2 linked regions of the Struthio camelus genome follow. The protein of the gene in region 1 interacts with the protein of each later gene in a pairwise test. Links are inferred from orthologs where the notes say so. Each region holds a gene or a part of one and is shown in the gene's direction. Other genes may lie near its edges.

The links.
Region 2: the proteins of GOLGA1 (region 1) and PDCL2 interact in a two-hybrid assay, tested with the Homo sapiens proteins (2 studies listed by BioGRID). The two-hybrid records come from large-scale screens. The link is inferred for Struthio camelus from reciprocal best matches to the Homo sapiens genes GOLGA1 and PDCL2.

Annotation. Positions count from the first base shown.
Region 1 is NC_090961.1:1,279,168-1,294,577, reverse strand, and holds the start of GOLGA1 (golgin subfamily A member 1), read left to right. Parts: upstream 1-8,139; 5' UTR 8,140-8,222; intron 8,223-8,600; 5' UTR 8,601-8,777; coding exon 8,778-8,912; intron 8,913-10,087; exon of another isoform or gene 10,088-10,206; intron 10,207-10,299; coding exon 10,300-10,390; intron 10,391-11,386; coding exon 11,387-11,461; intron 11,462-11,919; coding exon 11,920-12,017; intron 12,018-12,564; coding exon 12,565-12,597; intron 12,598-13,338; coding exon 13,339-13,467; intron 13,468-13,762; coding exon 13,763-13,932; intron 13,933-14,357; coding exon 14,358-14,469; intron 14,470-14,592; coding exon 14,593-14,688; intron 14,689-15,130; coding exon 15,131-15,256; intron 15,257-15,410. Other genes in the region: protein SCAI, read left to right, coding at 237-410, 602-702, 1,857-2,006. UniProt on the Homo sapiens protein: Involved in vesicular trafficking at the Golgi apparatus level. Involved in endosome-to-Golgi trafficking. Mechanistically, captures transport vesicles arriving from endosomes via the protein TBC1D23.
Region 2 is NC_090945.1:56,484,166-56,499,550, forward strand, and holds the start of PDCL2 (phosducin-like protein 2), read left to right. Parts: upstream 1-7,656; 5' UTR 7,657-7,769; coding exon 7,770-7,775; intron 7,776-10,034; coding exon 10,035-10,155; exon of another isoform or gene 10,156-10,210; intron 10,211-11,679; coding exon 11,680-11,770; intron 11,771-14,437; coding exon 14,438-14,581; intron 14,582-15,385. Other genes in the region: NMU (neuromedin-U), read left to right, coding at 4,174-4,227, 6,041-6,076. UniProt on the Homo sapiens protein: Essential for male fertility, spermiogenesis and acrosome formation.

The DNA of each region.
Region 1 (15,410 bases):
GGACAACTCTGTAGACTTTGCGGAGGTTATATAGGTCCAGCTGCTTGATCCTTTAGTGCTAATCACGTGCATCACCTTGAGAACAGATCTACCACAAGAGGGGAGAAGATATAACACAGCCAAACTAGTAGCATTGCTGTTACAGAGTATAGTGGGTGAGGGACCTCATTCTGTAGCCAGGACAGCTTTTCTGTTTCATGTGCCAAACGTGTATCTCTGTTTATTGATTTTTTTAGATCAGTCTCAGCGGGGTAGCCTCTTCACACTCTTTCTGAACAATCCTTTAATGGCATTCCTATTTGTCTCTGGATTATCAAGCATGCGCAGAGGATTGTGGGAGAAGTGTCAAGATTACCTTAGAAAAATCAACCGAGATATTGCCCAGCTGCTGACCCACTCACGTTCCATAGGTATGTACCTAAAGATGTACAACTGAAGCTTAGTATGCTACTTAAGCCGACACCTTGTTATTGCTCAGGCTTTCCAAGGGACAGAATAGTGAATAAGGGGAATGCACAAGTATGCATGGTGGTTTCCCCCAGGGTCCTTTTTGTTTTTAAAGCCTTTCTGAACTGAGTTTTCTTTGTTCGCTTCTCTGCAGATCAGTCCTTTCTTCAGTTTTTTGGGGATGAATTTCTTCGCTTGCTTCTAACAAGATTTATCTTCTGTTCGGCTACTATGAGGATGCACAAAATTTTCCGGGTATGCAGGGAAATCTGTCTCTTTGTGAGAACAATCCAGTGCAGATAGAACTGCACTGCCTCAGAATGGAAGGGTCTTACGGCTACGGATATCACTGTGACTTGCGAAAGATAGCTGATATTCACATGCTAATGCCTACAGCTTGTATTGTGTCTATCTCCTTGTTATTATAGAGCATGAAGCCTTTGACTTGCTTCAGCCTTATTCCACCACACAAGTAGTAGGCACATTCTAACATTAGCATATTCATTTATGTCACTCTGAATAGTCTTTTCTGCTAGAAATAATCTTGAGTTATCAAGAAGAATATTGTTTCTATATAACTAAAAAAAGTGGGGATCGAGACTATAAGAGGAAGTGGAGAGGAGGGAAACTTTATCTCTGGGATGTATTCTAGGGTGAGTAAATTTTGAAAGGCCTTTGAAGTGTAAATGAATAAGCTGAACAGAAAGACGGTATTTCCCCTCCCTGCTGGTTAACACTGCTAGCAGTGAAGTCTGCTTCTGGATCTACATCATTTTACACTTGCGAGTGTTGGCGTATAAATTGTGTGCTCCACTTTACATGTTACAGAAAAACTGAAAGTAGAAGCACAGAAAGATGCAGTAGAACTGATCTTGCCTAACTGCAGACATCTATTAGTTTTCCAAGCCTAAGTTAGCTACTCAGGCTTCCTTGATAGCAGGGGAAAAAGTAGATCTTTTGTGAGTGGGGATGGATTTGCCCCCAGTGTCTTAGATATCTGTTTTAGGATGAGATGAATCTCCCACTGGAGATGCTTACATGTCTACAATTTCAAGAAATGAACTCCAGCCTAAATCGGTAGTAGGTAAGTATGTGTAAAGTTTTTTTTTTTCTTTTTGGTAAGGCTTCTGTGAATATAGAATTAAAAGCAAATGTACTTAATCAGCTTAGAGGAGAATGTACTTAATCAGCTTAGAGGAGTGAACGTTTGTATTGCCATTATGACTGTCTTTGAGTCAATAGAAAAAGAAAACTGAACATGACTTTTTTTTCTGCTAGGATCTTTTCATTCCATGTGGCATGTTAAAGAAATTAAGATACTTCTTAGGTGAAACTGGCCTTTTGCAATCTTCTAAAAGGTTATAAAAATAAATGAATGTCTGATTCTCTCTGTTTTCACTGTTGTCTAGCAGGAAACTCGCAATTATCCAGAATCTTATCCTCAGCTGCCAAGAGATGAAACTGTGGAGAACCCTCACCTCCAAAAGCACATTTTGGAGCTGGCTTCCATACTGGATGTTAGAAATGTTTTCCTGGAAAACACCCTCGACGACTATTAGAAGAGACTGTCTTACTGCAAAGCGGTTTCCCTGGTCACAGATTTTGAATGGTGCAGTTTTTTAATGTGAAAATCATAAAAGGAAGTACTTGATTTTATTTTTAAATTTAGGACCATAATTTTAAAAAACAATAATAAACAGCTGTTAGTTTAGCTGTTCCATTCTGTATGGGGTCACTTTTATAAGCGAAACTTTTCATGTCTTTTAAATGTTAAACTAAAGAATCACTAGAGTTTTATTTCTGGTCTTGTGGCTGCTATCAACCACATTTCCAACAGCTGATCCTAAGCATAGAAGTACTATTGGTTACCTTTAGCCCATGTTTGTGGAAATCCTTTATTTTTATACAATTTTAAAAAATTGGAAAAAATCAATAGAAAAACAATATTTTTTTCCCCAAAGACTCTGGATTTGAAATGGTAAAGATGGAACCACACAGTGCAAACCAACAATAGCAATAAAACAGAGTCCTTCATAACAAATATATTTTTTCAGTCTTAGGCAAGTAAGTAGACAAAACTGAGGTAGATTAAGCTGCATTTGGAGCAGTGGGTTTGACATGAAGTCGTAAAGAGCTTTAATGCTCCCTATAAATTTGTCACACCAATTCTATATACAAACTTTGTACTGCTGGCCAAGGACAATTTCCACTCTACCTGCTTGGGTGGATGGCTAGCAGACTGATGAATTACAAGACCAAGAGATTTGGCTCCCCTTTCTCACCATAACATGGGTCATTGTGCCATTTGTATTGCTGCTGCAATTTTCCAGGAGGAGAGGGCGTTCTTCATTTTGAGCTAATAGATAGAAATTCTTAAATCTCCACCAGGTGTAATCTGTCCTTTCCTTGTGTAAATGAAATGTGTGGCTCCTCCAGTGTTATCAATTCCTGACAAGAGTTGAAAGTGTGTCCCATAAAGTGCTGAATATCAGCCCTTCCTATCACCCATTTATCTAACTAATCTGTGTTGGATCCCTGTGCCCTAGCAGACATGCTGGTGCTCCTCTTGGAGGTTAGGGGAAAAAAAAAAAAAGGGGTGCTGCCACAAAGCCCCGTTAATGTTGTGAGTGCTCATTGTTGCATCTCAGTCATTTTTTCGAGCCAGTAAAACTGAGGGGCTGTAATACTGTTTGGCAGTGCTGTAGGCTCTCTCAGCCCAAAATGCTCAGTCTAGGTGGGTTAAGGAGTACTGTGACCTTTGTAAAGGCACTTGCTGGAGAAGGCTATTTTGAGTGTGGGGAGAAAAAGTGCTTGCTGACTCTTTTGGACTGTACCTCCTTCCTTGCAGAACTAGAGGAACTCTTGCAACTCCTGACAGTGAAGCCTGAGGGAGGAAAGAAAATGAAAATGTTCTAAACTATTCTAAACTAGAAAATTCTAAACTAGAAAAAGTTTGTTTTCACTGTTTCTGTGCTGAAAAGGAAGTGAAAAGACAAGTCTGATCAGTGCTTTAAAGTTGCAACCCAGTCATGCCTCTAATGTCAGGTGGAAAAAAAATTGCAAAATGTTGGGACTATCACAGCAGGCATGTTTGCAAAGCTGTAATACAACGGTATGATCAACTCAGAAGCTGGAATAGTGAAGGACTAGAAATCGGCACTGATGGACCCTCATTCAGCAGGGCGTAGTACAGAACAGCAGGATTTGCCACAGTATAAATGGGAAGTTTGTGTGAAGGTTCTCTGTATCTTGGGCTGTAGCTTCAGCTTAAGCTCTCCATTCTTTAATTTCCCAAGTGTAAAAAATTCAATGAATGCTAGCATTTTTCTCTGAGCAGTGTTGAAGCTGGTATGTTGGGCCCCTCACCACTTGGTGCTGCTCTTCTTTGGACTATAGCAGGACTGGGATGTGGAGTTTATTTTAAAGAGTGTGTGTTTGTGTGTGTATGTGTATTCTAGGCGTTTGTGTGTATATGTACAATACACATACATCTACTTGCTAGTGTAAATTGTAAATATGTATATATGTATAGGTACTTGTATATGTATTAAAAAGTATGAAACAGTACAATGTCTTTATATACAACATTTATATATACACACATACGCCATTTTGGGTGCATTCCACAAGGTGTTCCAGATCCTTTGTGGTTGTAGTAAAGGTTATGGCTCTTCTACCATTATAATTCTGTTTTCAGGGACTTGCACTTAGTCCTTGAAGTAATTCAGAACTGCAATCGGGTACAGGAAGCCTTAGCTAGGGGTTATGAGTACTCCTATGTATGTGACAGTGATTAGATTCATGGATTCTTAATGGTGAAGCTGATGATCTGCCTTTCCTTCTGGTAGGAGGTCCCCAGTTATTAAAACGTGGGATCATACGTGGAAGCTAAAGATACTGAAAGCCTTTAAAGCAGCAGCAAGTGAGAGTCACAGATTATCGTATCTGCTACCCTCCCTGCTGTTCCTCCACCAGCAGTGTTTAATGTGCATGGAAGAGGGGAACTTATTTTTCCCCAGCTCACTGCCTTCCAATCAGATGCTTTTGTTCTGCTTTAGCTTTTGCTTTGATGAAGCTATTCTCAGTTTGGTTCCATGCATCTGGAAAATAGTGTGCTATTTTGAAGCACAGGAGCAAAGATCCCTTTAGTGTGGGCTGCTGAACCTCTGTGAAATATTGCCTTCTAGCTGACTGGGAAAGCCTTGGCAGACGCTAGATCGTGTTTTAGCTGGGCTGAGACGAGGAGTTCTTGCTTGCGATCTGCAAGGCCTCTAAGCCACTATGCAGCCCTGAGAAGAGGTTCTGTTTGCTTGTTACCTAAGTAGATCTAATCAGAGGAGAATGCGCTTAAAAAAAAAAGTGACTAAAGAAGCTAGAATGGAGGAGAATATGTGGCTTTGAAAATTAGTTCAGAAGCTAAACACATCAGCTTTGTCTGTTCAGGTAAAAAATTCATTCTTGAGGTCCCACATTCTCTTCTCACCTAGTGACCTTTGGTTCAAAAGGTATGCTGCTGATAGGAATATTCAAAGATAAAGATTTTACTCCTGTTGTGTCAGTAGGAGTAAGAAATTGTACTTTATAAGAAAAAGGCTGATACCTTCTGTCTGCTCTAGCTGTAGATAAGATGAGTATTTGGTCTTGGACTTTGAGCCAGACACCCCCCCACCCCCCACCCCCCCCCCCAAAAAAAAAAAAGCAGCTAGCTGCATTCAAGATAAAAACACTGATCTTTTCCCTCCAAGTAAAAGCTTGTCTTGTTTGAATTTACTAAGTCATTCTAAATTTGTGCTACTGTGTACTGTGTGCTATGGTTGTAGGTACCTTCTCTATGTATACTTGTATGTACTGAAGAAAAATTTGGTATATATATCTAGCAGATCTCGCTATAGGGAAGCAAAGGCTGAACAATTTCAAGTGAGGAGAGAACAGATCCTTTTCTTCTCAGGCCTAATGCCTTCTCTCTTGTATCCCTCTCCCTTTCTCCATATATCCTTATTGCTTATGTTAGTGGAGAAGACTTGCTACCATTAGGCAATACTGAATTAAAAGGGTAAATTCTGTATGTAATATCTAAAGAGAGGAAAAGGTGAACTTGATTGAATGTCTCCTTATTGGACTTCTCCTGCCTAGCCCCCTAATTTACTGCATGTGATATGTTTGAATTAACTGTACTTCCACGGTAGGCATCTCTATTTGTACTCCTCTGTTCAAATTGGCTTTAGAACATCTAGCCAAAGTCAGTGCTGTTGCCTTCCCTCACCCACCCCCTTGACTTCTCAAAATAACAGTGAGGGGGAAAATAGGGCCATGAATTTTTAGAGCTCTGTTTTTACTCTTTGGACGCTGTCATTTTGCTCTGTGGCAACAAAAATGGAGCACTAACTTCTGTGAGCTGTGCAAAGTGGAGTTGCTCCCTGGAGTGCTTTCGTGAGAAGTTTCAGGAGAGTTTGTTTGGGTAGTTTGTCAAAATAATATCCATCAGGTCATGATGTATTAAAACCCTTAATATTCTACAGGGAGCAGTGTGGAGATGTCTTTCTAAGGATCACTGAGGGTAGATGGGGACAGGAAGTTAGGCTTCAAATAATCGTCTTCAAAAGCTACAAGTTCAGTAGCGCTGGTCAGGCTTCTTGTCTAAGGATGGGATGAAAGTACAGCTCCAAGATTCATCCACAGGCATGCCGTTTTGAATTACCCCCCGCCCCGCTTCTTCTGTGTAGTATGACTCCGTGCTATGCTTGGTCTGCTTTTTCCCAAAAGCTTTTAGCTTGGGATCTCTCTCAGCAGCATTTTGGCCTTGACACTTCTTTTGTAAAGCTTCATCTATGTTAGCTTCTTCAGTAAATGTTTTTACAGGTCACTAATGATAGCAGTGGCAGATGTTTAGTCCTGTCCATCCTATGTTAAGTGGCTGCTTCGGTGTTGGTAGCTGTTGGTAGTTGCTCCTGTAGCTGAGGGAGCTCCATGGACAGTAACAGCAAGAGTAATCTCACAAGGGAAAAAGTCCAACACATGCAGCTGAAAGCTGTTCTGTGCAACTCAATAATGTCAGACTAAGCTGCACCGTCAACCTCTGAGAGGGATACTGGTGCAGAAGACAGGGCAAAACTGTCCAGAGTAGATGACTTGCATATTCTTGACATGGCTCTCTTACATTGCTGAGTATCTCTGACTTCTAGAGCGATTTGGCTTGTGGGACCAAATCTATTTCAAAGATTGTGAAAGTCTGGATGTTTACAAATAGAGCAGAGGAGGAAGCATCGGACAAATACTTCTGGTTTATATTTAGGAGTGAAAGTAAAGCTACTTCTTCTGAGACAGACCCCACTTTCTCATCACTTTTCCTCTAAACCATTGCTCTGCCAAGACAGAGGAGGAGATCTAGTTGAGGATTTCTGAATTTGTGAGCTCTTTCAGAAGACCAGGGAATAACTCTGCATCCCCATTGACGTACCCTTATTACTGGGCCTGCTGCCCTGATGTGTGCATAGACGTTTTGCTCTTACAGATCCTGCTTTCACATTGAGAGCAGACTTTACTATTTACTCGGCCAAAGGAGCGCCTTGAGAGATTTTTAGACCTTATTGGATCTTATATCAGTAATTATTCCTTCAAAAAAAGCCTGTGTTGAGTATCTGCCCTACTGACTTTGCAGATTTCTTCTGCCATCTGTTTATTACCACTTATCAGTTGTAACTCATTTTTAGGAGCAGGATTCTGCCTCATGCATTTGAAAAGCACAAGGTGCTTATGCCCTGGCCTGCAGCTCACCAAGAAGTACAAGAAAAATAGATGGGAGAGGGAGGGGACATTCTGGAAATACAGAAAGATGAACTATGTCTCAGACAGTCCATCTACCAAGGGTTAAAGGAGTGTTTTGCCTCTCTGAGTATCAGATTATTTATTACCAAAAGTAATTTTATAGTGGATTGGTTTAAAGTTATTTTACAGCCATGTGCCTGTATATCATATTTTGCTAAAAAAAAAAAATATTTTACTTAAAATATATAGAGATATATAAATAAACTTTTTGGAGCAAATAGACTTTTTTTTTTTTTTTTGCAAGGGATCTATGAATTGCCAAAGCAATGCACTACCAGAGAATATTCTGCCATTGGTTTTGGTGTCTTTGGGAGGAAAGAAGTATGTTTGTATTACTGCTGAAAATTTCAGGGAAGAGTTAAAAGCTACGCTTACAAGTGAGAAGTGATGTTACTCCTCCACTTCAGAAATAAAGACCTTAGTTTCCACGTCGGTTTGTACCGGTAACTAAAACCGAAACGCAAGGCCTGCTTACTGCTGCCACGACCAAGGTTAAAGCCTTTTCCCGCGCCGCTCCGCTCCGCTCCGCTCCGCGCGCGGCCCGCCTGCCCCGCCGGCCCCTCCGCGCGTGGCGGGCCGCGGCCCCCCGCCCGCCCCCAGCTCTGTACCTCTTCTGTAGACGCGTGGTGTTTCAGACGTAACGCTCTTGTTTGCTAACCTGTATGATTTGCCTGTTGTCATGACTACCTTGCCTTTTCCGGTGGTATGGAAGGAGTTCGCGATTAATAAACTGTGGCAAACGCTTGTCTGTGAGGAGGCGGCTGTCGCGCGGCGGGGCGCGCGGCGGCCGTGACGGGGGGGGGGAGGGGAGAGGAGAGGAGGGGAGGGGAGGGGGCGGGGCTACCAATGCCCGCCCCGCCTCGCCTCGCCTCGCGCGTGCGCAGCCCGCGGCGCTTCCGGCTCCGCGCGGCGCTTCCGGGTCGGCGTCGCCAGGGGCAGCGGCGGCAGCGGTCGGCGGTGGCGGTGGCGGTGGCGGTGGCGGGGGGGGGTCGGGGCGGCGCGGCGGGGCGCGGCGCGGCGGCACGCACCGGGCTGGGGGCCGCCGTGAGGCGACTGAGGGGCCGGGGCCGAGACGGCCGTGGCCGGGCCGCGGCGGCGGGAGCGGCGCGGTGGCGGCGGGGCTTCGCCGGGCCCTTCGGCAGCCGCCGGCCGGGCCCGCTGCCTCCGCCTGGGGCGCGCTTCGCGGCCGGCGGGAGCTCTGCAGGGCTTCTGCTCCGCGCTCTGAGTGTGCGACGACACGCACGGAATTAAAAGGCGCTCGGTTGCGTGGAGGTATTTAAAACTGGTGGAAAGCCGCGGTACGGAAACCTTATCTCCTTAACGTGCAGGTCCTGTTAGGCCATGAAGGCTTTAATGGAACTAGAGAGGCAATAAAACTGAGTGGATGAGGCACGAAATTAAGTCTCGACGTCTGGAAGCTCTACGCGGAGCGCCAGCGCGCTAGCCGTGCCGGAGGGAGCGGCTTTGCCAAATACTTGGCTATTTCGGGGCTGCAGAGCAGTAAAATGTTTGCAAAACTGAAGAAGAAGATCGCGGAAGAGGCAGGTATCGCGCCTCGCCCGGGAGGAGCTGCCAGGATACCTAGGTCTGTCAGCAAGGAGTCGATTGCGTCCATGGGAGCGGACTCGGGAGACGACTTTGTGAGTTGCACTTTGCTTGGAATTTTGCTTTTTGTTTCAGCCTTTCCAGTGCGGGTTGGCAGGCGACCATTTTAAGTCCGGTGCGTGAGCCGCGTATGCGTTCCGGTATGCGATAGGGCGTTTATGTAGGTGTAGAGCTTAACGTGTAGATGAATCACTAGCTTCAGTGAAAAGAAACTAGCTACTGAAAAGAAAATATTTATGTATTAATAGCAGTAGTTACTAGGAGGCTTATGTTCAAACGCAAGTTTATGTTTAAACGCAAGTTACAAAACTATCTCAATGAAGACCATTGTTAAACAGATGGAAAATACTGAATAAACCTTTAGCAGTGTGTAAGACACCTACCTACAGAAGTAAGTACTGAAGCAGCAGACAAGGAAGCCGGATGCTGATTAGCAGTGATTTGGTCCTGTGTTTGCCTCTCGAGTTGCTGGTACACTTGCTGCTTGAGCATATTGTTTATGTAACCGCTAAGAAAGCATATTCCATTTTGTTGCATGCAAGTAAAACTGTTCTGGTTCCTCTGTCTTGTTTAAACTTTGATTCATTATGAAGCATTGTTTAAGCAAGCTGTATAATTATAGCTGCATGTGGGTTAAATGAAACCCTACAACGCTGGCACCTCTGCCCGTAGATGGCTATTGTATTTCTCAAAACCTGGGTTAAGTCATGGTGTAGCACTGCTGTTGGAGCTAACAGCTAATACATGCTATATTGCTTTAGCACAGCAGGTCCCTTTATGATTCTCTTTCGCTCTGTGTGTGTGTGTGTGTGTGTGTGTATATAGAGATATATATATGAAATATATAAATAAAACTCTATCTTCAAGAATGAGTTATTTTAGTAGTTCCCATTTACTTGCTCTTAATGTTGATTTTTATAAAAAAAAACTATAGAGAAACATATGTTAGCTATGCAGTGGATTTTGCATGGAATGACTATTGGATAAGTGCTTAAGGGAGTTTATTCAACGTGAAAAGTATTACTTTTCCTTCTTCCAGTTACTTAGTTTTCCAAAATGACTCCTCTCACTTGGACTCATCCCAGAATGTGTACTGTATAACCTAATTTTTCCTTTTTCCAGTCGCTCTGCTATGCTGTCTCCTCAGTGATCAGTCTGAACAAATAATTTGCAGCTATGGGTTTTAAAAGTCTTGTATTTCACGGAACAGGCCCACATTGGAGAGCTGACCATTTAAGCTCTTGCTTTTTTTCTTCTTCAGCATCTTTTGTACATTCTGCTGTGCTAGTACAACTCTCCCCTCGTGAAAAATGAAAGCGTCCTTCCTAGGTGGGATAGTGTTCATTATCGTTAAAGTTAGTATATGGCAGGATCATTTTTTCTAAGTTTTGTAAGTTACATGGATGTTGTTTTTCTATTGAGGCTTCTGATGGAAGCAGCTCTAGGGAGGATCTTTCATCCCAGTTGTTGAGAAGAAACGAACAGATAAGAAAACTGGAGGTCAAACTGTCCGGTATGTGTCTTGGTTTGTATAAAACCTTATTATTTTAGGAAATGTGTTTCATTTGAACTTAAGTGTTTTAACTTATCAAAAAATGTTTTTAGATTTTTTTTTTTCCAGAAAACTTCAATTTGTAACAACATGGTTGACTGTCATCTAGGTAGCTTCCAGTAAAGATAACTGTATAAAGTTTAAAGATTGATTGACTGACTGACTCTTTTCCACTGATTTCTTCGCAACATTTGTGCGTTTCTTTTGAACATTTGGGATACCTTTCTGTCCCTGTGTTTCAAACAGAAAGAGTCTTCACTTGATGCTATCTTCCTTTCCCCACTGTTTTTTCTTACTTACTTGGAAAATAGAACAGCTCCCTTCTGTTAAGATGTATGCTTTTTGATGTTGACAGAAACATTCCCAAAAGGATAAACTCCCAAATGAAGAAAAAGCAAAGGATTTGGCATAAAACAACATTGACGCTGTTTTTCTTTCTACAATCATGCCTTGTCCTGTAAAAGTCTTTTAAGGACTTCTGATACTGCTTTCCATCCCTGTTGCATGGAGTGGATCGGAGTCCAGGTTGAAGCGTGTTATGGAGCAAAAGTAAAAGCTGCTTTGAATTCCCGTGTCTTCTCATTCACTCTTTATTTCTCTTTAGAAAATGTCTCTTAAATTAAGTCACTGTTCTTGAATGAAGTAAAAGGTGGGAATAGTTCTCCGTTCTCTGGTGCCAGGCCTACTGCCCTTTATTGTGTAACTAGCACACCTAGGTCAGGTCCTCCTGTTTGTGCCAACCGCATACCCCATGGACGGCATAGACAGTATTTGCTTGTCTTCATTTTTGTGGTCACCCAAGTTTTCCCTAACTGGAATGATTTTCTAGTTGAGACAATCATTGTTGTTTTCCACTCATTTTTTTTCTTCTTCCTTTCTTTTTTTTTTTTTTTTTTTTTTTTTTCCTTCCCCAATGTCTGTCCATTCCTGGTCTGTGCCTCTCCCTCCTCACACAAGATTATGCTGATCAGATCCGAAACTTGCAGAAGATAAAAGAGAAGCTTGAAAATGCATTAGAAAAGCATCAGGATTGTACGTATTTTTTTTTTTTTCAGTTGAAAACTGTTATGCTTTAAATGCAGATGGAAAGAAATGAGTTTGTATGGTTGTTTTAAATGCATTTACTTTCAAATTGTGCACCTCTAGGTTGCAAAAAAAGCTATAGTTTGGCTGCTGAACAAAGTTGTCATTAATCTCTTTGCCAAGTTGGTGGCTAATGTGTGGGAGAGATTTTTTTTGAAACCTTCAGCCTTGTTATAATCCAAGCACTGAGGAACAGTACTCATGTCTTCTGTCGTTTCCGGCAGTTGTCTAATGTACAAGCAAATGTGTAATGTAATATAATAAATGGCACAACATCAGTGCTAGAGAGTCAAGATGGGGCTAATTACTTGGGTAAGAAGCTCTTTAAATTTATAAATAACATAGGAAATTGAGAAGTGATTTAAAAAGATGGCCTTGTAATAAAGCTGGTGATTCTTTGTTGACAGCCTCTATGAGGAAGTTTCAGGAGCAGAATGAAGCTCACCAGGCCAACCGAGCCAAGATGGCTGAAGGAATGGCTTTGGCCTTGGAAAAAAAGGACCAGGTAATAGTTACAGTTTGAACAACTGAACTTTTGACCAGTTGTGCAGTGCATGATCTTGATGTAGTCAGGAGGTGTCACCATTAATGAAAATAGTTGCTCTGTATTGCTTTTGCTTACTTTGCTGAAGTCAAAGAAAGGATGGAGCATTAAGTGCTAATGTAAGAAACGTCAAAGGACTTGTCGTCGTTCTGAGTGTTCTTGCCGATTTTAAAAAACCACTCAAAAGTTTCTAGTATAAAGGTAAGCTCACCTTTGTATTTAGTAAGATTCCTTTGCAGGAGAACTGTTGTCATTTTTATTTTACTTGCGTAAAGCTTAGGTATTCAAGTAACGTAAATGATTCCTCAGGTTTTTCTATGTTTAAATCTTATTGTTATTTTTATTTTAGTCATTTAAAATTTAGTCATTTTAATCATTACCATGGTTTAACATCTGTTAACAGTACAAATTTTTTTTTTTTTTTTTTTTTTACTATAACTGCAGTTTTCAAAAGTCTATAAATGGATTTTGATTTTTCTTCTATTTTTCTTCTATTTTTCTCACTCAGGAATGGATGGAAAAACTGGGTCAAGTTGAAAAGGTAATTAAGTTCTGATTTTTAAACACTGATCTGTACACTTTCTGGGACTCAACTCTGTTCATCCGTTCTTGTTAAGTGATCTTTGCTCAATGACTGAGGCCAGAGATAGGCTTTCGTTACCAGCTCTGTTACTTCAGAAGATATTTCTGGAATTAGTTTTGAATGGGCAAGTAGAGAATGAGGGGTGGCAGGGAGAAAGGCATTGTGCTTCTGTAAGGTGGAAGAGAGTTTACTTTCTTATAGAGGAGCAGCTGGGGTGCAGAAAGAATTAGTGACTTGGTCTGAGGTCTTGCAGTAAGTTTTCTATTTCATAAAATAAGCAACCCTATTTGGTAGTTTGTTTGTTTGTTTTTTAAGGAAATGAATTCAGTTTTGCTGTAGTTGTTACAGCTGTTTAGCTCAGTCTCTTTTAAAATATCTTTGATTATGAAGACATTAAACATGTTACTATTGGCTGTAAATTTATAACTTTTTAAGGGTTAATTACCTGTAATACTGTTATGCTTGAGTTACCTATCTATACTGTTTTTTAAAGTGAGACTTGACTGCACTGTAATAAAGACAACATTGTGAAGATTTTTGAAGTTCAATAATTTACTCCACGTTGCCTACTGCTATATATAGTACTGTCAGAGAGCCTTTAAGACAAGATTCCTTTTCCAAAGAGCGTAACTAAACTCCCATTGACTTGAAATTAACGTGCAGATATTCATGGATTCCTTGTTTTTGTTGGTTTATCAGGAAAAAAGAATGCTGGAAACGCAGTTACAAGAAATGAGGGAGCAGAGTTTAAACCTTTTTCAAAAGAGAGATGAAATTGATGAACTGGAGGGCTTTCAACAGCAGGAGATGGCCAAAGTTAAACACATGGTAAGATTATTTTTAAACATGACTTTTAAAATTTCTCTTAGGATACCTAGTTAGTGGTAGCACTGCAATAATTTTTTTTAGCCTTGATGCTTATGTGCAGACTTTCTCAGCGTCAAAATCCTACCAGAATGTAAACACGTACAATGTTACAGAGACTGTTTCAACATTGCCTTTCCTGGGAGTTATTTCATTTAGTTCAGCTCATAACTTAATAAAGGAGATAAGTCTAAATGAGAAGTCTTTATCAATATTACTGGGTTATCTGTATTGTCAAATATAACATTCTAATACTCAGCTTTTGAAAAAGGAAGAATCTCTGAGCAAAGCAGAGCAGGAACTAGAGGCATGCACTCGAGAACTAACTCACACTAAAGAGGTGCTTCAGGATACAAGTGGTGTGTCATCAGGCCTAAGAAAAGATCTTCAAGAGTTGCGGCAGCAGTTCTTGGAGCTAGAGGCACAGAGGTATGGATGTGGTGTGTTGTGAGGAGCAGTGTATTTATTCCCTGTGTATTTTTACTTAGTTCCCAACTCAGTCTTTTTGGAAGAGTTTATATATGCAGTGAACTGATTGAATAATTGCATCTAGTATGCTGGTGTGGATGTACATGCCAGATTTTTATTTATTTCTTCTCAAGTCAATTAAAGTAATAACTTGTGTAGGATTTAGTAAACTTGTTATGATGTTTTTTTTTTTCCTAGTTTGGAGCTCTATAGTACCTAATACTTAACCCTTACTTTTAAAGTGTGTAGTCAACACAGTGGCTGGTTTTAGCCATCAAAAAAGTCTTGTTGATGTTTCTTGGTCCATTTGCATAAAAAGTAGAATTATTTGCTAAAGTTTATTTTTCTGGCACATTGTGTTACTTCTTTATTCTCTTTCTGTGAAGAGATGAATTAATGACAGCTGAGACAAATGCGGAAAATAAGATCACTGCTCTGGAGTTAAGAGAACGGGAGCTACAAACTGTCATTCAGCAGTTCTCTGTAGACTTACAAAACGTAAGTTCGAGATAAGTGAGGTTTGATTCAAAGACCTACCTGTCTGCAGAAGTAGGATTAGATATTGATTATATGGATTTAGAAGTCTGAGTTGCAAAGCAAGTAATTTTTCTATATTTTTAGGCTCGAGTTGCTGGTTCTGGTTGTGAGAAGAGGCTGGAAATGTTACAGGTGGAGCATGAATCTCTGAAGGTGGAATATGAGCAATACAAGCAAAAGGTACTTCATTGTTTAGTTTGTGTGTGATCTGAAGTTACTTTATTTAATCTAGTTTTAATCCACAGTCTCGTCTGTGAATTTATTAGTTGTATTTTTTACTTTGACTGAATTTTCTGTAGAAAATAAATATTTTAAAGATGTACTTGTGCTTCGTGCTTTATTTGAAACTGTAAGAACTGTAGGTTTAATAAATTCTTTATACACTAGTATTGAAGGGATGAGCCGATTAAGCGTCTTCGCGTGCACCTGCTATTGGCTGGTGTAAAGGTGTGCCCTTTGGTAACGCACAGTGGGTTTGAAATTTAACGTCTGTAAAGTGTTTCGGAATCCTATTGTCTTTTCAAATAGGACTTTTTCTAATGACACTTTTTCAACTCAGACCACAGTGGATTAGATGAAAGCTTGGCTACAAAGAAGATCTTGTGATTTCTTGTTCCAACAGATGACTCTTGAATATAATGAGAGAAATAAACTTACTGAACTGCTGCAGGAAAAAGTGTCTTCCTTGGAAAAGAAACTAGGAAGAAATCTTTCAGGGGATGAGCATGTGCAGGAACTTCTTAAGGAGGTAGTTTTACTTCTATAGACTGCTTAAAAGTACAGTCTTAAGGAGAGCTTTTAGAACATACATTGCTTATTTTATTACCCATGGAAAGAACATATGATGAGGTAACACGTGCACATTTGTCCCTCCTCTGTATATTGGCACGCTACCTATGCCA
Region 2 (15,385 bases), on another chromosome or scaffold:
GAAATAAAAATCTCTGTATTTGCCACACAGAGTCAGACTTTTCCCATTATTACACTGAGTGTAAGGGATTATGTTTTTCTTCCAGGATGTTCTTACATACAGGAACAGGACACAGCCTTTCTGAGTGGAAGGCTGCTCAGTCTGCTGTGCACTGTAGCCCTACTTTTCTTCATGTGGGTGAGGAGGAGCAGAGGAATGTGAACCAGAGGTCCCCCATGAGCACTTGCAGCCAAACTGGAAGGGGAGAGAAAAAAAAAAAGGAAACCCTAAATGCATATAATCAGTTTGTCCAGAAAAATATAACGAGATGGATGTCTGTATAGCAGTGTAGTGCCTACACATATACCTAACCCAGAAAACAATAGAGGACAAGACTTTGGCAGTTAAAGGCAGGTAAAAATATGATCCAATTTTTGAAACAGTCCCTACTGCTTTTTAGCTGTGTACTATCTTCCTATCTTCCTGACTTCTACAGCAATCTTGAACATAACAGAACTGTGTAAAAACTAATGGCAGATTTTGCTTATCACTGACTTCAGTTTCGGTTAACAGGACTACCAGTGACAGAACCTGGCCACGTATACGAACTTACAGAGTTGGTACTTCTACTCATGAAACAGCTCAAACAACAGTTCCCACAAGAACTGAAATTGTTATAAAAAGTTTTAATCCATTACACATCTGAAAGGAAATTACAGGGTAAAAGTTAGCTTCTGTGATGACGTTGACTTTAACTGCATTTATACTCCTGGAGCTAAACACTGACAGAGAATATTCCTGTAATTGCTCTTTGTGCTTTTAAACGAATATACATGTCAAATAAGAAAAAGAATGGGAAGAAAAATATAAATGCCAGGGCACAAAATTATTATATATGAAAACAAAGTGGCTTTTAAATCCAATCAAGTCCTTTTGCTAGAATACTTTAATATTCTGAGCTTATTTCCACTGAGGTTGATGACATAATTAATGGTAATAGAATAATGTAATTAACAGACAATAACCTGAAAGCAAGAGCCTACTTACCATATTCCATCAGATTTTGCCTCTTCTTGACAGATTTATTTTTAGCGAACCGTTTCTCACCCAGGCTCAAAAAAGAAACTTTAGAATATTTTTCCGAGTAATAATAATACCATAGTGTGCAGAGTATATCAGTTAGATCATGCAAGTGACTGCATATTTATATTTTAAGAGAGTCATAATATTTAAAACTGAAATCACAAATAAAATTTAATACATTACTTCTGTTTAAGAGCTGCCAAGCCATCCTATGAAATAGAATCTAAAGGCTTATTTTTTACATCAAAGAACTATCAAGGTCCATACTCTTTACCGAGTACAGATCCTTAGGAAAAGAAAAAATAGCACCTATCTATCATAAAGCTTAAACATACACTGACATAAACATAGGACTAAGAAAAGAAATATTTTTAGAACAATATTTGCAAATATTTCTTCCAAAGGAAATAACAATAAAAAAAAACTATAGTCATTTTGAGTGAATGCAAAGCAGGCTGATTTAACTCTGTGGCTAAAGGCAAATCTTTTATTAAACATTTATAAAAAGTATCTTATTTTTGTTGTATTTTTATATTAGAAGTGAATGTATGATAATGTGTTTCCTTAATCATCTTTTCTTTTAAATGGCTAATTTTTAAAGGCCTTTAGTCTCTTTCCTATTTATAGTCATAATTAGTAGTGCATAGAAATAATAACACTTAGAATTTGAAGTAATCTGCAATGTAATAAGCATTGATTGTTTAATTTGCAACTATTATATTATGTTCCTAAACTAACTTAGCTAAATACTTAAGCACATACATAACTCTTAAGTTCATTATTTCAGTGGGACTGTTCATGTGCTCTTTGCTGAGTTCTTCTAGGTACGGATTGGAAATACAGCTAGAAGTTTGAACGCAGACTGTGTGGCACTTTGAACTGGCATGTTCGGTAGTTACGTTTCATGAGCTACAGCTACAGGAATGCTCTAGATTAGCCAGTGCTATCATGAATGATTGGATTAGACTGAAAATATACAACCCAGGTGTAATTTTTAAAAGAAGGAAATGACAGAATCGTAAAGTAGAATAAGGGTCAGCTAGGATCTGTTAGAAGAGGAACGGAATATAGACCTGTGACAGTCATATCATAGTAAGACTTTAAAAAAAAAATAAAAAAAAAAGGATATAATAGGAAAAGCCATACCAGATCAGACTATATTTTCATCAGCCCAGTATCCAGTATCTAAAAGTGACTTGTAGTGCATAGACAAGAAAAGCTTGGAAGGAGCAGGGGGAATGTGAAGTGATTAGTCCTTTTGTTTACCCTCTAGCTTTTGACAGTTTCATCTTAGGGACCTTCTGAGTCACTAATGGATTTAACCACCTTTGCATCTGGACCATTATGTAAAATAATCACAAGTGGATTTAATCACCTTTGATTTTTTGCCTGTATGTATTTTAAATGACTGTTTATTTTGAAATATTTGATCATTAGGCATTCTGGCCTACAAAGTGAAGAGCTTAGTGAACGCCAATAGAGTCACGTAATATTAAATAAGTCCTAAAATACGTTCTCTTTCATAAAACTAGAGTCAAGAGAAGTAATTATATGGCTAACACTTGCAGCATATAACTATTTTTAAATAGTCATATAAACATAAGGCAACAATATAAACATTATTTAAAAAAAAAAGGAAATGCACCATTGATGATTCTAATCCTGGTGAGAATACAGGAAGATGTTCCATACATATAGCAGCTTACAGCTAGAGCACACAGAAAAATGGGCTGTATCTGAGCTCTAAATTGAACTATATCTTTCAGAGAAAGTACCTTTTTCTATTTTTTGTTGTGAATTCCTGTTGTGAATATCAGTTACCTTATTAAATGTGGTATTTAATGATGTAGAATGCATAATACTAAAGACATTTACAAAATGCTAGCATCTTCTGAAATCCATTTCCTTTGCAGACCCTTTTTTGATATTTTGCAAGCATCTTATTTATTTTAATGTTATAATTACACCATTGAAAGTCATCCACCCACATTATGCTTATCATATTTATTTATATGGCAGATTTCTGCACATTTTAGTATAAGAGTTTAAAATTCTCTGCAAATGTTATTGCTGAGGGTCAAATCAGTTCGTAAGAAAATTAAGAAAACACTTGCTTGAACAATAATGCAAGTATTTTCTGCCTGTAGGAAAGCTAAAAATCCTATCTTTCCAAGAAACAGTATTGGATAGGGTAATGAGGGAACCACATAGGTAAACTGTAAAGCCAGTAGAGGCCCTACATGACCTCAGTTTTCAATTGAGAGATACCATCATTGCTAAGGGAGCATACAATAAATTCCATTCTATGATGTTCTGCTAAGCACAAGACTTGAATTATTTTGTTTCTAAGTTGGCCTGTCTCTACTTCTACAGGACAGACATCTCACTGAGACATCTGATTTTAACACAGACGCTGAAAATTCTGCCATTCACTTTATGCATTTTCTAATCATTCACATGTCATTAAAGCCAGAGGATACTTTATGCCCTGTGCGTGTTACATTTCAATGGCATTTCTATCTTAATTTATTGTTCTTTTTCCCCCTTGCTGCATGGATCAGTAGAGAGTTGTTTTTCAGTGTGTGCAACATGACCAGGATAGAATATCATAGGCACTGGTCTTCTCCTTGGGATTAAATCTGGGAAGGGTGATCATGAAATGCTTCTGGGAATAGTATGGGATCTTGTGGCTTGGCTGGAGACCAAGTATTTCTTTTTGTCAGCTTTGCAGTATTCTCCTGGGATGTGCAAAGCCTAATTCTAGGATGTTCTTAGAGATTCTTCTTCTATCGGGACACTCAGGTTGTGTCTGAGTAATGAAATCTGGAAAGGCGAGGGCAAAGGCTGCTCATCAGTACCGGTATAATTCTAAAGCAATTTCCACTGAGTCAGAACTACAGGTGGAATCTACCCCTCATTCATGTATTTTTTGCTGTTTCTACATGCAGATACGACCTTCTTTCTAATTGTCATGGAGAAATATACATCAAGCATACTTTAAGAGGCAAGACTGTATAGTAGTACTTAACAGTTTTAGTAAGCACAGAAACAACCTGTCTGTATGCATGCAGTTACAAGAGTAGGTCTGATTTGAAATACTTTACTTTTCAGGAAGAACTTCAAGGACCTGGAGGGATTCAAAGTAGAGGCTACTTTTTCTTCAGGGTATGGTTTGTTTGGTTTTTTTTTTTTCTCCCTTTCAAATTGTTACATAACAGAGTCGAGAAATCAGAGAATTAGTGTAAGAATTACTGTGTACGAGTATTACTGTGTATTACTTTTTTCAGTATTAGCATCATGCTGTAAGTATTTCCATTATGGATGTTTGTTGTCTTTGCAGAAGATGAGCAATATAATTTCCAAAGAATTTATAAGGTACATTCTGCATGGCACCATCTGCATTTGTAAAGTCATTAGGATAACAGGGCTAGATTGGAACTTCTTGGTGATACTGAAGTATCAGAAACGGATTAAAAAATCAAAGGGGATTGTACGTGCTTAGAATCCTTCAAATTTAGGTAATTACTGATACGTTTTTCACTATGATAAATGTTAACAATGAAATATCTTAAAAAGACATAGCACCTCTAATAGATCAATAGAATGATCCTCTTAATGTAGTGAACCAATATTCTAAGATCTGTTATTCCCAAATAAGAATTTCTAAAGTATTTGCAAATTATTTTTTTTAGAACTAGGTGTACTTAACTAGTGTACTAGACTGATGGAGATTTACAGTCTTCCATAGCAGCGTAGGGTTTTAGAACATGTTAGACATGCACCTGACAGGAATGAGGCATGGATAGGAGGTCTCAAGATCTGTTCCAGGCATTTTCTATGATTACGATAAAGCCATAGTAAGAAGTTTTTGTACACGTCTTAGTATAGGCACATGATACCGTGCTATTTCTTAATAAAGCATTGGTTATTATTTATACAATTCTCAGAAGAGTTCTAGAAAATATGGCATCTTTGAAAATCTTCTAAAGCATTGTTCAACACAGTGTGTTTACATGCTACATAAATATAATGCCATGCTTACATATTGTTCCAAGATAGATATTGGACCCGACCTTCTCTTTTCCTTGTATTTTGATCAGTAAGGTAGGAAAGTAGACATAAAAATTCTCAGGAGAATGAACCTACTTGGTCCATCTTTCATGCCGTGCAGCCTTTTTGTTCTGTTTACACAAAATGGATTAAGTTAAAGATGCCAAGTCAGACTCGATAATGATTTTCTTGATTTTGGTTAATCTTTTTTCTGTTTAAATAAGAAAGCGACTAGTAAAAAGAAGATATGTTTGTATACTTGTATTTCTTATGTGTCAGGCTTGGATCTTAGAGTACTCGTGATAGGCCAGAGTTATCAAACATGTTAACCCATGGTTAATTAATTAATTAACCCATGATGCACTCACCATATCAGAGTGAACAGCTAATCCTTATTAATCTGAATAAGAGCTTTTTAATTAGCTTTAGTAGAACATGAATCAAGTCCCCCGGTAGTGCAAAATTTTACTGCAATGACCACAGTGAAAAAGGAGAAACTCTTCACTTACGTTAAAGAACACAGTATAAAAATAAAATCATTGAGAGTGACTTCATATACTTATTTTTTAATTGCCACAAACATTTATAATGCAGTAGCAACAATCTGGAAGTACATCTTAAATAAATGCAAAAAAAATGAGGGGCAATGGTCTCTTAGAGTGATTTCTTGTGGCTTTTTCTCCCTCACAAAATCATACGATAGGGGCATAATTCATTCTCCAGTCTTAAAAGCTGAAATGTTACTGTATAATTCTCCTCCAGGGGTGAATGTGCATTAAATGATAACTGGTCTCAGGTTTATCTTGAAAGATGATCACTGTGACAACACTGAGAAATTTACCAATTTCTATATATAGTGAGTTCTGTGGAGCTTTCTTATTGAAACGGGCCAGTTTTATAGAGCGCTTGTTGGATATTTGTCTTTCAGCCACGCAATGGAAGGAGATCAGCGGATTTTCACTAAGCAGGTATTTATTTAAATGCTTTTAATTAAGATCTCTCTTTCAATATGTTTATTTTTATACAAATAGGCCAAATATTTATGTTTAGAAGCAATATTTAACCCAGAAAGCCTTTAATTGTGCAGTGAGCTTAGATTTCTGCAAGGATTTTTCCAGATCTGCTAAATTCTCCCACCTCAAATGGAAATGAATGGAAGCTGTAGGTACTCACTCCCTACAACAAAGAAATCGGAGGTGTTTCAGGCAGCAAGAAATGGAAAACACCCCAGATTTGTAGACAGTTTCGAAAATTACTAATGATGATAAGCGTATGTCAGGAAGAACTGATCCAACTATCTGAAACTATTTGGCTCTTTGGAGATATAAACAAGTCTTTCTTTGCTTATATTATGCTGCTCTCTTTCTCTAATACATTTTATAGCTCTATCATATTTTAAGCATTTAGTGCAATGTCATATCAAAAGCTAAAGCTTTTTCTTATTTTTCAGGATTTTAGATTCCTGATCTAGAACTAATGCTGCAGGAACGCTGAGTAGACGGACATACTGTTTTCCTTACAAAAATTGTTCCGTACTAATGTACAATTCAAAAATCACTAGAATGTAAATGTTCTTACACTAGATTCAGTTAACAATTCAAATGTTTCTTTTCTTTCTTGAATCTATTAAAAGCATATTAAAATAATTTGTTTCCTAATGTTATGTTTACAACTGTGTGTGTAATGCACCTGTAAAAAAAGTCACAGTGTTCGCATGTAAGAGACACTGCCTCTAACGCTGTTGATATGTACTTTTATTTTCCCTTCTAAATAAAGGCATTCAGTTAGCGAGTTGTTTTAATGAGAATGTGGGCAATGTAGTCTTTTGGGTTTTTTTTCAGAATACATTGCAAGTGATTTGTCTTTAAAATCACAGCTTAATTTATTTTGTTAATATCATATTTTACAGCTCCTTTATTGATATTTATGCACATTTACATAGCCAACTACTCTTACATTTGCATATTCTTATTCTGCCCTCATATTTATTGGAAATGCCTATTCTTTCATTATCTGAATAAGCGTTAAACTCAGTCCCACGAAAAAGACGTACACTGAAGCCAAGCTTTCACATGTCTGATAAAACAGTGCAGAAAGTCTGATTCATGGCATGTATTTTTCTTTGCTCTACCACAACACCTAACACTGCATCATGATGAAAGTATGGGAGCCGGGGAAGAAAAGCCACGAGAAAATGTCATGCTTCAAAAAGCACAACTCTCTCCATGAAGAACATCTACACAACGAGAATCCCCGTTATATGCAGTTTGCCGGAAGGCCAGACAAGAGGTGTGCCATGAGGCAAACCGTGACCGCTTACCGGCCTGCCGGCAAGGACCGCACAAGCTATTCGATACCGCTCCCGCCAGCCGTGGCAGCGCCCGCCTTCCCACGCCACGTCTGAGGGACCGAGCGAGCGAGGGCAGCCGGCCGCGCACGACGCCCCCCACTCGCCCCGCCACCGCGCGGCAGCTGCCACCGCCCCAACCGCCCCGCCCGGGGCGGCGCCGCGACCGTTAGCCCGGGGCGGGGCGGGGCGGGGCGGGGCGGGGCCGACCGCGCGGCCCTGCCCCAACGGCCGCCCCGCCGCCCCCGCCCCCGCCCGTCGGGTCAAAGCAGCGGCCTCCGTGAGGGGAGCGAGCGGCCTGGGCGCAGCCATGCAGGTGGGGGCGGACGGCCGCCCCCGGCCCCGGGCTGCCCCAGGGTGGGGGAAGAGGCTGAGGCAGGCCGAGGACGGGAGGGCGACGGGGCGGGGGAGGCTGGAGGCGGTCGGGCTGCGGGAGCCGCGCCGTGCGGCCCGAGGGTACGGGCGGGAGGGGGGACGAAAAGCAGAGGTGGCAGGGAGGGCAGGAGCGACCCCGGCCGCGCGAAGCCTTGCCAGCCTCCGCGGGGCGTCTGGAGAAGCGATGGCAGGAGTAGCTGGTGTGGGGTTTCTCGTGCAGATGCCTCACGGAGGCTCGGTGAATTCTTAGCCATTAACTTAATCATTAATATCCTTCAAGAATAAGAAAGTACTGCACTTTGGCAGCTGGATGATCATAGATGTAGCATACTGTAAAGCATCATGTCACTCACTCAAAGAGGAAATTGCAGATTAATATTTAAATGTAGCTTAGAAGTGTTATTTATGCTCCAGAATTGAAGTTACCCAGCCTAGGGGTTCCCAAACTTATTATGTGTGAGTATCACCCCTGGCAACGCTAGTGGTAACTAATTTTATCACTGGCAGCATGAGAAGTTTTCTCGCTTGGGATTGTGACCAAGTAGTTGAGTAATACTGCTTCGGTACTCCAGCTTTCTCGCTACTGCAACCAATTTTAAGTCAGTTCGTTTTTGCTGTTGCTTGGCTCCATTGCCAGTTACTGTCAAATACTTGCTGAAGTTCTTGACACGCAATTTATTTCTTCTGTGCATATGCTGCAAACTTACACCGATATGTTAACGCTCAGGCTCTTAAACGTTGATTTAACTCAGTTTATTAAAAACTGTGAAAAGTTTGGTGGCTTCTGATCTTTCCCTTCCTTGACACTGGAGTTCAGATTTACCTCAGAGACCTGTTTCTGTTACGTTTACTGTGATCTTAAGTGTAGTATTCTTGAGCCAATTCTTGCTTTTACAAGATGTAAAAGCACCTAGAGAAAGAAGGTCCAGTGTGCAATCCGTTAATCAATTCACAAGCCTGTTGAGGGTTGTAATCATTAAATAGAAATGGTGTAAAGTACACAGTTTAAGTAAAATACTGTAGAGAGATTTTCTTTAGGACATACATTTACAGAAAAACACACAAAGTGTCAAAATCTTTCCTGGCAAACACACATTCAGCCTCTGTTTCAGTAGTCCTTTTTTGTCCTATGGTCTTCAAATTTATTTATCCAGTTAGGATTAATGATTATTATGGGTTTTATGCCTCATAATCCTTCATAATCTTTCTGCTAGGGAAAAAGAGTTGCGTTCTGTGAAGCAGAATCTAATCCTGACCTAAGTCAGGAAATCATATGCACGAGAACATTTGTAATGGAGGCCAAAGTGCATGTTTGTCACTCTTGTTTATTCAGTGGTTCCCCTGGAGTAGTCCTCTTAGTTCTGTGGGCTTTTTGATATCCTGACTGTACCTGAGTCAAAATTCTTCTTTGGTGAAGAATGTAAAACTTTATAGTAAGACAAACAGTAAGACAAAATTTTTTACAAAAATAAATGCTAGGAATTATGCTATAGCAAATCTTTATTCAGGTTATTCCTACGCCAGGCCCATTAGTGACCATCTAGTTTATGATTATATGTGGAGCTTCTCTTTTAGTTTTTCCAATGGGTTATACTTTTCAACCAAAGAAGGAGAAAATAAAACTTAAACTTTTATTCACCTTTTCCTATGTGCATATATACATGCAGAAGTCCTGTGGTATAAATAAACGTGGTATATGAGGTAGCTTATGTTGACACATTAATATTAATCATTCATTTAAAATAAAAAGTTTTTTTTTCTTTTCTGATTCTAGGCATGCTTTTACGTGTCATTAAATGTCGTTATACAAAAGTCATGCCTGTATAAAACTTGTATTTCTTTAAGTATGTGTAGATGAGTGATGTTCTGGCTTTCTGAAGAAGGTTTCTATATATCTTTTAGACAAAATTTTAACAGATATTTTGGAGACTGATAGGTTTATGTATGCTTAAATTTAGAGTTTGGGTTTTTTTTACTCTTATTTTCTTGTTGCTGTCTGTGCAGAAGTGAAAAATGCCAAATGAAAATTCATTAGATAGATTAGAAAGTGGTCCATGAAGATATTGCAGACTCTCAGTAATGGTTTGCCTTTGTTATGGCCTTACTGTATGCCAAAATGAAAAAGGGCTGGCTTTGGTTTAAAAAAGGGGCAAGGGTGACGAGTTTGTTAATTTATTTTTGTTTCATAATATCAAAACAGGATCCAAATGAAGATACTGAATGGAATGATGTATTGAGAGACTTTGGAATTCTTCCTCCAAAAGAAAAACCAAAAGATGAAATTGAAGAAATGGTTTTACGCTTGCAGAAAGAAGCAGAAGGCAAGTGAAGTCAAAATATACGTGCCATTAGTAGAACAACATTTGACAAGCTGAGGTATTTGCAGTAATCCTTTTTGAGCCATAAATATTGTATAATAATTATATTATTTTAATTATTTTCACTCAGTTGATGGTTATTTTAAAAAGTATACTGAATTAAACATACAGTAACATTACTGACAAACATTATGACTTCTATTATGTACAGGTAACTCATTTTCATCATTTTAGTAAAGAGCAGTCAGTATAGTCTTTTTAGTAAAGAGCAGTCAGTATAAGCAAGATTCATGTTCAGACAATTGGTAGTAATCCACTCCTGTAATTTGATAAAAACATGAGGATTTCAATACAACTGCTCTCCCTCCTTTCCAGCGGGAAAATATTTGTCTTCCTGTAACTGTTTTCCATTATTCCAAACTCTCCATATGATTGATATTTTTAATTTCTGTGAAAAATCTTACCATTTATGAGCCAATGTAATAGACAGTCCTTTATATCTGTCATCACAATTTTGTACATCAAGTATCTTTGCTGTCCAAAATCAGGTATTGGCATGCGAACATCCGTGTCCTGTCTGAAGTGAGCATGAAGAAAAATATATTTTCTTTTCCTTTACAGATATTTGTATGTATTAGAAAATTGTTACTGTTACTGTGGCTTCCTGTAGTTTCTCTTTGAAGAACAGAAAGCATGAAAGTGTAGTTACAACCATAGTAGGAACCGGGAGTGGCACCTCTGTGTAAAACTGTGCCTCTTGGTACCAACTCTATTCCTGCAGACAAGCAGCTTTGCGTAGAGCTACTTAGGCTGTATGTGTTAGGTGTTGTAGAAATTCTCACTTTCTGACAAGTTCCAGACTTCCAAATTGAGAAGCAAGTTACGGTTGGTTCAGCAGTTTTCAGCTCTGTGCATTCCTTTGACAATCTGCTGTGTTCTTTTGACGAATTACAGCAGGGAAAACACATAGTCTTTCTGACTTCAGCAGTAGCTTCTGCCAAGTTCTTGAAGGTGCTGTTCATCAGGATGGTGTTTGCCTAAAGATGTTTTAAAATGTAATATCCAAAAATAAAAAAAGTGGCAGAATGGCACACCACTGCATACTACACTGTTTAAATCACAGTTATACTAACAACTTCAGTTCTTTTGGACTTATATTTAGGCTGTTTTTTCTAGATCTCTGATCATTCCTTTGTAGACTTTTGCAGTCCTTTCTAGACTTTTGCAGTCCTTTTAGACTCCCACCAATTGGTCTGGGCAGAAGTAGAACCCAGTACAGATGTTGTTAGATCCAGGGACATAGTGCATGCAAGTACTTAAGCAAGTAAATATTAGTTACGGTTAAATAATTTTATTTTTTCTCTCTTACCCGAAGGTATACTAAAGTTGACTAATCTCTTAAATGACATGTACATTTTTTCTTTCATTAATTCCATAACTATGTAATAATTTTCATACAGACATTTAAAGTGTTTGCAGACACTTTAGTGAACAAAAGATGACTAACATTCTGTTTGTTTGTTCTAGTGAAACCTTATGAAAGAATGAATCTTAAAGAATTAAAGGAAGCTGAAGATGACTTTGATGAGGCTGATATGAAAGCTGTTGAAATGTACAGGTATAGCAAGATATTCCTAGCCAGATTAACAGTGCCTGTGTGACTATTGTACATGTCCACAGAATCACAGAGTGGTCGAGGTTGGAAGGGACCTCTGGAGATCATCTCGTCCAACCGCCCTGCTCAAGCAGGGGTCATCTAGAGCACATTGCCCAGGATCACGTCCAGGCGGGTTCTGAATATCTCCGGGGAAGGAGGCTCCACAGCCTCTCTGGGAAACCTCTGCCAGTGCTCTGTCATCCTCACAGCAAAGAAGTTTTTCCTCAGATTTAGATAGAACTGCCTGTGTTTCAGTTTGTGCCTGTTGCCTCTCGTCCGGTCGCTGGGCACCAGTGAGAAGAGCCTGGCCCCGTCCTCTTGACACCTCCCCTTCAGATATTTATACATATTGATAAGATCCCCTCTCAGTCCTTCTCTTCTCCAGGCTGAACAGGCCCAGCTCTCGCAGCCTTTCTGCATAGGAGAGGTGCTCCAGTCCCCTCATCATCTTTGTAGCCCTCCGCTGGACTCTCTCCAGGAGTGCCCTGTCTCCCTTGTACTGGGGAGCCCAGAACTGGACACAGCACTCCAGATGTGGCCTCCCCAGGGCTGAGTAGAGGAGGAGGAGGATCACCTCCCTCGACCTGCTGGCAACACTCTGCCTAATGCACCCCAGGAGACCATTGGCCTTCTTGGCCACAAGGGCACACTGCTGGCTCATGGTCAACTTGTCGTCCACCAGGACACCCAGGTCCTTCTCTGCAGAGCTGCTTTCCAGCAGGCCAGCCCCCAGCCTGTCCTGGTGCATGGGGTTATTCCTCCCCAGATGCAGGACCCTGCACTTGCCCTTGTTGAAGTTCAGGAGGTTCCTCTCCGCCCAGCTCTCCAGCCTGTCCAGGTGCCTCTGAATGGCAGCACAGCCCTCTGGGGTATCAGTCACTCCCCCCAGTTTAGTATCATCAGCAAACTTGCTGAGGAGGCATTGTGTCCCTTCCTCCAGGTCACTGATGAATAAGTTAAACAAGACTGGACCCAGTACTGACCCCTGGGGGCCACTGCTACATGCAGGCCTCCAACTAGACTGCGCTACTGATCACAACCCGTGATCATTCAGCCAGTTCTCAATCCACCTCACCGTCCACTCATCTAGCCCGCACTTCCTGAGCTTACCTGGTAACCCATTTTTTGTCTTTTCTTTTGGATATCAGTTTCTGTAGATTTCAGATCAGGATGAAACGGAGTCGGTTGTGGGTATCCTTTCTCTCATCATCTCTCTCTCTATCACATTGCATAAGAGCGTGAGGAGAAACAAGAGGCACATATAGCCCCATTTTTTCAAAGGGTACTGAATTTGTGCACGTGGGGTCCATGCTACCTACAAAGGGACTTTAATTCAGGGTGGCATGCTATTAAAGCAAAAACCATATTTCAGTGCTGGAATAAAACTTTTATATTTTAAACTGATAAGATATAAAATATTTATTGAGTTAGCTTTGGACCCCCAATATAGAACTTCTATGTTTGTTTTCCCTCATTTCCTATTTCATTTTAATGGCTTTTTTGTTTCTCACTTAAGGAAAATATTCTTTTGAAGTTTATATACCATACACTGTACTTAGGCATAACTGGAGAACAACCTAGGTCCTCAACCAACTATGTAATATGAGTACACCAATCTTTTCTACTTATAATACGATGCAGAGTCAGTATGTTTTATGACTTCAGGCTCAGAAAACTTTGGCAGCTTATAAGGCAACTTTTTTTAGTTATGTTGGATGTTCACTTATATCTTTTTTAGTTATAGTGGATGTTCACATGTATATTTTCTTCCACATATTTATGAAGCACTTTGCTAAGTTCTGCAGAGCTTGGTACTGTCACTAAGAAAAATAAGATATGCAGTGTATGCAGAATAAAAAAACTAACATGATCAAAACATTTCCTCTGTCTAGACTATCCATACTCAGTGCTTTTGCATTGTTAAAGTGACTAAAATAATTCTAGCATTAACTCCATGTATCTAGTGCTGTATCTTCATAAAAAGATAATCATGCTCTCATCGTGTGAAAGTTGTGAACCTAAATTTATCTTGCATTCTTGCTAGAGTATAATAATGATGCACATATATTATTCCACTTTTTTTTTAAGAAGAAAGTCACTTCTATATGAAAATCAATAGCTGTTTTTAGTTTAGCAAATCTTAAGGCATTTTTCATTGTCTATATTGTAAATATTTTTAGAGTTGAAGACTGCCATCTACTGTCTTAACATTCCAAGTTTCATGTAAATGTAAAATTACATTGTATAATACTAGGACACCAAGTACTAGTAATTCTTGCTCAAACTAATCTCATTTTCAAAATTATAAAGACAATTTTCACCTTCTTTAATTTTTCTTGCTGTATCTCCACTATCAAGACGCTTGTGTAACACGTTCGTTACTTAAGTTTCCCAAATCTGACATTAATGTGTGCACATAAAAGAAGAAAATACATTTTAATGCTTTATTACTGAATAAAGATTAGCAGAGAAGCCTTTCTAACTCCCAAGATATTCCACTGATACTAAAAGACCTTGAGCTACAGAGTATTATTCAAAGCAATTTGTTTAAAGGAATTGAGAGAAATGCACTACATATTATTATAATATGCATTTAAAATTTTCCAGAGGCATTTATTTTTTAATTAGGCAGCAACGCTTGCAAGAATGGAAGTGTCTTCAGCGGAGACAGAAGTATGGGGAGCTAAGAGAAATATGTGGAGAGCAGTATGTAAAGGAAGTCACAAATGCTCCAGAAGATGTTTGGGTTATAATTCATCTTTATCGATCAAGGTAATTAGTTTTTTGTTTAAGATGTTGAGAACTTCAATAGAAAGAATTCAGATGGTAAGAAAAAAGCATTGCCAAGAAAAATGAAATATAACAAAGAGACTTTATTGAAATAGCCATTGTTTGGGGCCAGTGGAATCCTGGAAAATGATTCCAGAATGGGGCCACCTTGATTTGTTAATTCACTTTGTGAGAATTGATCACTTCACCTTTCATCATTTGTATGAAAGATTTCTTAAGGTTTACGCTTATCACCATGTACTGAATGTCATTGAGATTTCTGAATTTCACTGAGAAACTCGTGTCCACTTTCTGTGCTAAAGGAAGTTCCTTTGCCGACTCCTTTTTTCAGGAAGTGTTCTCTTACAGGATTATTCTACCTGTATTCCCATTGACTCCAATAAATCAAAAGCCCAGTAAGGAACAGTTCTGAAAAATCAAGGAACGTTAGGGAAATTGTTAGTTTATCAATTCTTGAATAAATTCTCTACTAGTAGCAGCAGTTTGACAGGATCTAGCAGAAATGTCAAAAGACTCCTACGATTACTTCAGCATATGTTAACAACTATCACATGATTTTCAAAAGCATTGAGAATTAGTATGGAATGCTTAAGAACATGGTTTATAGATTCAGACCAGCTTTCTCTTTACCTTCTTTACCTTCTTTACCTTCTTTTTAAGCCTGTTGGGAGGAAGTTTCTTCTTCTTTTTTTTTTTTTTTTTTAACTGCCAGGAATGGAGCATTATTTCCAGGAGCAAGGAATAGGTCAAGGAAACGAAATTGTTCAAATTACAGTAATGTAATTT